Callithrix jacchus: one gene and its partner. The protein of the gene in region 2 purifies or fractionates together with the protein of the main gene of each other region. This does not show direct contact. Links are inferred from orthologs where the notes say so. Each region holds a gene or a part of one and is shown on either strand. Other genes may lie near its edges. The genes, in order: FKBP5 and TSSK6.

Region 1 (4,492 bases), on a different chromosome or scaffold from region 2:
GTGAGGGAGGATTTCTGCCGGGGTGTTTGTGAATGATGACTGGATGACTGAGGTGGGGCAGCCATGCTTCTGGCTGAGGCCCCGCCTTCTCATCCTTCCTGGGGTCACCTCCCAGGGCAGCCACCTTGGCCAGAAGTGCCCAGGTTTGATGCTCTGGCCTGGGCTGGCATGGCCAGCAGAAAGCACAATGTCTTCAAGGCCCAGTGGAAGGACGACATCAGTCTCTGAAAGCTAAGGGGGCATGTGGAAGTGTAGGGTGGGACTAAGAAATCCCTTCAATTCCTCCAACAGTGGCTGACAAAACAGACCCCATATCCAAGGAAAGCTGTGCCCTAGGATGGGAGGATTGCAAAATGGAGGAGGCTCTGTCTGTTCTGGTAGTGGGGACCTGGGTGACACCACTCTCCAGATGCCCAAGGACTGCGGGGCCTCTGGGGACAGCATTTGAATTAGGTCATAAATGATTAGGAGAATGTCAGAGGAAGGAAGTAGGAGGGGAAAGGGGGCATTCTAGGCGGCAGAAACAACCCGAGCAAAGGCACAGAGGCGGGAAAATGGAGGGTGTGCTCCAGAAGCTGCCTCCTGCATGTTCATGGAATAAAGCTGAGGCCCAGAGAGAGGAAGTGTTTCTAAGACCTAGCAGTAGCCTTGAGGTCCTCTCACTCCAGGTCAGTGCTTTTTGTTACCCTAGAAAGCTTACAGGAGAGCACACCAGGGAGTCAGCTGTTGGTTTGGTTTCCTTTGCTTTCTTATCCCCAGCTAAGTCTCAATCAGGGATCGATCCTTGTTCTTGGCCTTCCTCTGCCAGCAGCTAGCTGTGTGATTCTAATAAGTCACTTCCCCTCTCTGGGCCCCTCATCTCCAATATGAAGGAGGTATAAGGCCTTGCTTCTACCTAGAAATGCCAACTCTGACTCTCTAAGCTAAAATGTGGCTTATTCTCCTATGCCCAGCACCCGGCAGAATCTATAGCACTACACGGGTGCTCAAATAACTGTTTTTGAATGAAGAAAGGAAGGAAAGAATGAAAAGCATCATGACTCTTCCTTAGCACTCTGCTTTGACAGCCTCAGCCTCTCCCCGCCCCAGGCAGGACAAAGGATGCAGGAGTCCCAGACCTTGAAAAGGAAGTCAAGGAAAACAAATAACTTAACTACATGGGGGCCCTAAACTCTGCCTCTGGGTGGATGCCCCTGAGAGAACCTTTCCTTGCAGCCTTGGCCTTGCTGAAACTGTGCAGTGGTCAGGGCCTGGAGGAGGGGCAGGGACCTCTAGCAGACCCAGAGGCAGCTAGGCCTGAGCCAAGACTGGCCCTCCCCTTGCTCCCTCCCCACTCACAGCTTCTCTGCTTCAAGAAGTGTCCCAAGCCTTCTGGTCCCAACCCTGAGGGGTTGGGCTGGCTCTGAAACCTCCTGTTTCCCAGGCCAATGATACCTTCATTTTTCCAGTTGCAATAACCCCTTTTTTTGAGGCCCCCTCCTTTCATGTTAAGAACTTTATTGCTCATTTCCCTCTTCCGTGACAGCAGCTGTATTTCTTTAACTTTGTGAAACACACACACGATCTATGGTGGTAGAAGTCGGAATCAGTTGCCTCTGGGGCGGAGACTGACTGGAAGGGGACACAAAGGCATTTGGAGGTAGTGAAAATGTCTGAAATCTTGATCTAGGTGATGGTTACATAGGCATATATATTTGTCAAAATTCATCAAGCTGTACACTTAAGATTTATGCATTTTACTGTATGTGGAATGTATGTTGATTATACCTCATAAAGTACTGCTAGCATCTAAAAGATACACATATGGAAAAGTACATGAAACATACATGTTCAGTTTAATGAATTATTTAGCCAGCGCCTGTGAAACACCACCCACGATACCTGGTGCCCCTGTGTAATCCACAGAGCTTGGATATAACCAAGCAGTTTCCCAGGGACCCCAGCACCCACAGACAGGGCACCTCAACTCCAGACACCATGTGCCTCTCGCTTCCCGGATTCATGGAAACATAGAGGCCAAGGATGGGGCAGAGCCCATGGGCTTTGGAACCTAGAATTTCCCATCAGTTCAACACCAGGCTTGACCACGATTCCCATTCTAGTGAATTGAAGGAACAGAAAACACACCATTTCCCCTTTCTGGGAGGGGAGTTTCCGTACTGGCCTCCTCCAGTGAGTCTTGGCTGGGGGGTGGGGGTTGTCCCTAGTTAAAGTCAAGGAGAACTGTGCCTTCCCTGCATCCCTGCTAAAAATAACTCCAGGCAGTGTTGCTGCCACTGAGCAGCAGGAAGGACAGAGTCGTGTTTTGCTTTAAACCTAGAAGCAGCTCGGCAATTGGGGGCTAGGGTGGGGTGGGAGAGCAGGCTAGGGATCTGAGAACCCTGGCTGTGCTCAGTGCACCCCCCCCCACCCCCAGCTGCAGCTGGTCTTCCGGGGGTGCCTGGGAGGGGTGTATGTGTTAGCGCATGCACGCGCATGTGTGGTGACAGGGCCTCCCAGTAGCAGAGCAGGAAACCAGGGAAGGCTGGGAATGTGTGGGGAGGGGTCTCTGTCCTGCTAACTGGAGCATGCAGCTGGAGGGCCAGGCGTCACGTCACGTACTCCATGGGGTCCCTACCTCCTCTGAGAAGCGTTCTGTTCCTGCAGCCCACGCCAGGCTCCCTGGGGTTGGAGAGGCTAGTCTTCTGCAGCGTGGCCGCCTGCCCCTCAGGGCTCCTTGCACACACGGGGCTGGAGATGGTTGCTTGGTAGTCCTTGTCTCTGTCTGGCTTCTGCTCTGCCCAAAGATATTGGGAGGTCCTCAGGGGTGGGTGCAGTCCGGCAGCGAGGAATTTCCCTGGAAACGGGAAGTACAAGATGTGTCAATATGGGATCCTAGCAGAGGAGTGAGAGGCTGAGTAAAGGGAAGGGAAGAGGCCCTCCTGGCTGCTCAGTCTTGCTCTCTCCTCCCACCACTCCCCTGCCTGTCTTATGCATCAGAGGCCTCCAATTGTTGGTCTCTCTTTCTGTATGCTTGTCTTGGGTCCCCGGCTCCTTGGAGCCAGGATCATCCTGCAGTTGGCCTCCATTTTCCAAGGTAACAATAAAGAAGAATCACCATTCATTTCACAGGTACCCCGTTCCAGGCACTGTGCTGACTCTGATGTGGATGTTCTCATTTAATCCTCCCAGCAAACCTGTGATAGTGGAATGATTACAATTCCTCCCTATTTATAAAGGAGGAAACTGAGGCTTAAAGTGGTGAAGTGCTAGTCTAGGATCTCACTGGCAGTACCTGACAAAGACAAGGCTTGAAGTCATGATATAGAACACAGAGCATGTCCAAGATGACTGTCCAGGAGACAATAAGAATTTTAGGGCCAGGCATGCTGGCTCCTTCCTGTAATCCCAGCACTTTGGGAGGCCGAGGCGGGTGGATCACCTGAGGTCAGGAGTTCGAGACCAGCATAGCCAACATGTTGAAACCCTGTCTCTACTAAAAATACAAAAATTAGCCAGGTGTGGTGGCAGGCACCTGTACTCTCAGCTACTTGGGAGGCTGAGGCAGGAAAATTGCTTGAACCCAGAAGGTGGAGGTTGCAGTGAGCCGAAATCATGCCACTGTACTCTAGCCTGGGCAACAGAGCAAGACTCTATCAAAAACAGAAAAAAAAAAAAAAAAGAATTTTAGAAATTTGATATCTGGGCCAGGCACGGTGGCTCATGCCTGTAATCCCAGCACTTTGGGAGGCTGAGGTGGGCAGATTCCCCTGAGGTCAGGAGTTGGAGACCAGCTTGACTAACATGGCAAAACCCTGTCCCTACTAAAAATACAAAAATTAGCTGGGCGTGGTGGTAGGTGCCTGTAATCCCAACTACTCGGGAGGCTGTGACAGGAGAATCGCTTAAACCCAGGAGGCGTAGGAGGAAGCAGTGAGCTGAGATCGCACCATTGCACTCCGGCCTCGGTGACAGAGCGAGACTTGGTCTCAAAAAAAAAGTAAAAAGAAATTTGACCATCCTAGATAATTTAGGACACATGGTTGCTGAACTTGATGATTTTGTTTAAAAAAACACACGTATATATACATACAAACACCAAAATAACCCCAAAATAGTGGCTTTACATTCAAAATTTGTACTCCCAGTTGTGATTTTGACCAAGAAACTAACCATCCTGACAAGTCTCAATTTCCATCTCTAAAAAATGGGTACAATAATCCTTGCCGAGGATTACTGGAGAGTAGTGTATTTGAACCCAGCCTTTTTTCTAAACCTAGAAAACACAAAGCTCCTTCATGCCTTGAGGCCTTTGCATGTGCTGTGCTGTTTCCTGTGCCTGAAACCCTCAGCTTCCAGATGTTCACGTGACTGGTTTATTCTCGTCCTCCAGGTCTTAGCTCAAACATAACCTTCCTCCGAGCAGCCTTCCCTGACTACCCAACAGACCCCCATCACACTCAATTGCATCCCTGTTTCATTTTCTTCTTTGTACATATCGTGATCTGAAATT
Region 2 (3,532 bases):
GACTGCAATGCTCCACGACTGCCCCACTGCACTCCAGCTTGGGCAACAGAGAGAGACCCTGTATCAAACAAAACAAAACAAAATGACCCAGTGCGGTGGCTCACACCTGTAATCCCAGCACTTTGGGAGGCCGAGGTGGGTAGATCACCGGAGGTCGGGAGTTCGAGACCAGCCTAACCAACATGGAGAAACCTGTCTTTACTAAAAATACAAAATTAGCTGGGCGTGGTGGCGCATGCCTGTAATCCCAGCTACTCGGGAGGCTGAGGCAGGAGAATCGCTTGAACCCGGGGGGTGGAGGCTGCAAGTGAGCCGAGATTGTGCCGCTGCACTCCAGCTTGGGGCAACAAGAGAAAAACTGTCTCTCAAAAAAAAAAAAAAAAAAAAAAAAAAAAGATGTGGATGGGTGGCGGAGGGGTCTACTTGCTCCCCAGCCCAGCGTCACAGAACCATCATGACCCGGAGACAACAAAGGTCCTTCGATTTTTGCCCAAAAGGTCCAGGTTCGAATCCTCCCGACTCCCTTTTGGGTCTTGGAGCAAGAACCTCAACATGCCTGACTAAAATTAGGAGACCCGCGCCCGGCGCCCGCCTTCCCCGGACGGAGCAACCCCTTCCCCACTGGTCCGTAAATGGGGTGCCACCATTAGAGTCAGGTGCAAGGAACAGCGAGTTTATTGCAGGTTCCAATCGGGAACCGAGTACCCTCAGCTGGTTGGGGAAGGGACCCCCTCCGCTCAGAACCTGAGCTCGTTCCGCGCAGACGCAACGCTTCTGTCCCCTCTGGTCTCGTCCCTCACGGGGCCCGGTGGCTAGGAATTACGGAGGCGCATGCGCCTCCAGCTCTCCGGTTCGTGGAGGACTTGGAGTCCGAACCCGGGCAACTGCAGCCTGCGTGGCGGGTGGGAGGGAGGGGAGGGGAGGGAAGGGGAAGCGAGAAGGCTCATGCGCAGTAACGCGCGGCAGCTTGGGTTCCCTCAAGCGCGCCTGTCGTGCGTCCGCTGCGCTGGCTCAGTATCCTCGGCTGCAGGAATTGCGGGAACCTGGGCTTCTAGCCCGAGTCCCCGGCGCGTAGCCAGCAGTTGCGCGCTACCTGGCCTGCCGAGGGCCTGGCGGACGGGCTGAACTGCAGCAGCTCGGCGATCAGGGCCTTGCAGCGCTCGGAGAGCTCCAGGCCTTCGGGGTAGAGCACGCCGCGCTTCTGGCGCCGGGGCAGACCGGCGATGTCCGAGTCGTCGAAGGGCATGCACCCGGTGACCATGACGTAGAGCACGACGCCCATGCTCCACACGTCGTATTTCTTGGGGTCGTAGGGGATACCCAGGAGCACCTCCGGTGACGCGTAGGCGGCGGAGCCGCAGTAGGTGGTGCTCAGGTCTGGGTAACCGTGAGCTTGGCGGCCAAAGCCGAAGTCTGTGAGCTTGACGCGGCGCTCGTCCGGGCTCAGCAGCACGTTTTCGCACTTGAGGTCGCGGTGCACCAGGTGGTGATCGTGCAGGTAGCGCACGGCGCCGGCGATCTGCGTGAAGAGGTCACGAGCCTGCACTCCGGGGATGTGCCCGTTGCGCTGCACGGCCTGCAGTAGGTCGGTGGCGGCAGCTTCCATCACAATGTACAGCTTCCCGTTGCATACCTCAATGAACTCGAAGACGTGCACGATGTGAGGGTGCCGCACGCCCCGCAGGATGGACAGCTCTCGCGGCAGGAACTTGTTGACGAAGTCCGGGGGCGCCCGCCGCCGGTCCACCACCTTGATGGCCACGGTACCCTTGTACTTCTTGGACGTGGCCACCTTCACCTTGGAGTAGCTGCCCTCTCCAATTGTGCGGCCCAGCTTATAACCGAGTTCGCTCAGGAGTTTGTCACCCGACATGGTGGCGCCTGGGGCGCACGCGGAGCAGGAGGCGGCTGCTGTTGGGGGGCGGCCGGACTCCAATCTCGGGTCTAACCCATGGCGCTTGGCACCTGCATCCCCGCACCCCCATGTGCCCACTGCCGCTCCTTGGCCGCTGTTACGCCTTTTATTGCCCCGTAACAATTTTTGCCTTGTGAAGTGGCCTCGGGCGTCACTCCGCCTTGGGGTCCGGGACCCCGCCCTGGGGCCACCCTAGCCTCCCTGCTTTGTGACTCATAATTACCCTGAATGGTCAGTTTCCGATGAGAGGCCACTAGCGAGGGATACCCACCACCACCAGGGAGCAGAATCCGCTCCTGGGATTGGGTTGAGTCCGAAATCGAGCAGCAGCTGTTCCCCAACATCATGTACCCAGCCCGTGACTACGTCGAGCCCTGGGCTTCCGGTAGAGTCCCTAGCGAGGGCTAAAACGGGAAAAGGGGCCTTAACTGGGGCACCTGGCTCTAGGGAGCTCCGAGTTTCTGACTGGCCTACACAACACCCCAGAAGCAAAGTGAACGCGAGGGCCTTTAATGCAAGAACCAGGGGGTCCTAGCGACTGAGACACGCCCGGTCTGGGGGAAAGAAGGAATAATGACTCCTCAGCTGCAGCCTAGCTGCGCATTCGGACCCAGGGTCAGCAGTCAGAGCTCTCAGGCGCGGTCGAGTAGTTACACTAGTCCCCGCGGCTTCCCAGCGCTGCGGAAGATGATCTCAAATGATTCCGCCACACTCATCATGGCGGTGGCACATGTCACTTCCGCCCGGAGCCGGAAGTGCGGGATCCAGTGAGTATGGCGGCGTCGAAGGTGAAGCAGGACATGCCCCCGGCGGGGGGCTATGGGCCCATCGACTACAAACGGAACTTGCCGCGTCGAGGACTGTCAGGTCAGTATCTCTCTGCGTCGGGGTCTCAGAGTCTGGGCACTCGGGACTCAGGGGCGGGGTTCCGGGGACACAAGCGGGCCGCAGTTTCCCCGGCGGTGTGACCGGAGGCGGAGTCCGGAGATCCCCCATAGCTTCTATAATAATAACAGTAACTGCTGCAGTTTGTTGAGCGCTTTCCCAGCTCCGCCTCCTTCTCGTAACAGCCCAGGAGATTGGTCCCTTTGATTATTTACATTTTACCGTAGGTTAAACTGAGGCATAGCCTGCGCCCTGGCCCTCGGCCACCCTTGGGTTTCTCAGATGCGGAAACTGAGGCCCAAAAGAGGCCGCGACTCCCCAAGGCAAGGCTAAGGCCGCAACCTGGAACCTGGGGGTAATTTACAAGAAGTTCGATGCGGTGGTTCCCTGCAGGCAGCCCCGCGCCTGCAAAGTGTCCCAGCAATCCTTATTCTTAAACTTTTCAAATGTTTTAGGTAGCATGTTAAATTTTGTTATCGGGCTCAACACAGAAGAATGAAAAAGAGAACTTAAAAGGTGCCCATACTCAGTCCCCAGGTTTAACAGACAAATACAAACCTTTAAACATAATTTAAGGGTGAATACATACGTTACTTTTTTTTTTTTTTTTTTTTTTTTTGAGACAGGGTATCGTTCTGTTGCCCGGGCTAGAGTGATCTCGGCAACCTCCGCCCCTTGGGCTCAAGCCATCCTCCCACCTCAGCCTCCTGAGTAGCTGGGAGTATAAGCCTG

Evidence for each region.
Region 1: the proteins of TSSK6 (region 2) and FKBP5 purify together in Homo sapiens (affinity purification with mass spectrometry; 4 studies listed by BioGRID and IntAct, with this or other methods). This does not show direct contact. The link is inferred for Callithrix jacchus from reciprocal best matches to the Homo sapiens genes TSSK6 and FKBP5.

Annotation. Positions count from the first base shown.
Region 1 is NC_133505.1:44,022,059-44,026,550, forward strand, and holds the start of FKBP5 (peptidyl-prolyl cis-trans isomerase FKBP5), read right to left. Parts: upstream 2,888-4,492; 5' UTR 2,618-2,887; intron 1-2,617. UniProt on the Homo sapiens protein: Immunophilin protein with PPIase and co-chaperone activities. Component of unligated steroid receptors heterocomplexes through interaction with heat-shock protein 90 (HSP90).
Region 2 is NC_133523.1:18,189,178-18,192,709, forward strand, and holds TSSK6 (testis-specific serine/threonine-protein kinase 6), read right to left. Parts: upstream 1,995-3,532; 5' UTR 1,874-1,994; coding exon 1,052-1,873; 3' UTR 660-1,051; downstream 1-659. Other genes in the region: NDUFA13 (NADH dehydrogenase [ubiquinone] 1 alpha subcomplex subunit 13), read left to right, coding at 2,689-2,782. UniProt on the Homo sapiens protein: Serine/threonine-protein kinase component of the sperm flagellar doublet microtubules. May act as a regulator of sperm motility by mediating phosphorylation of sperm doublet microtubule proteins.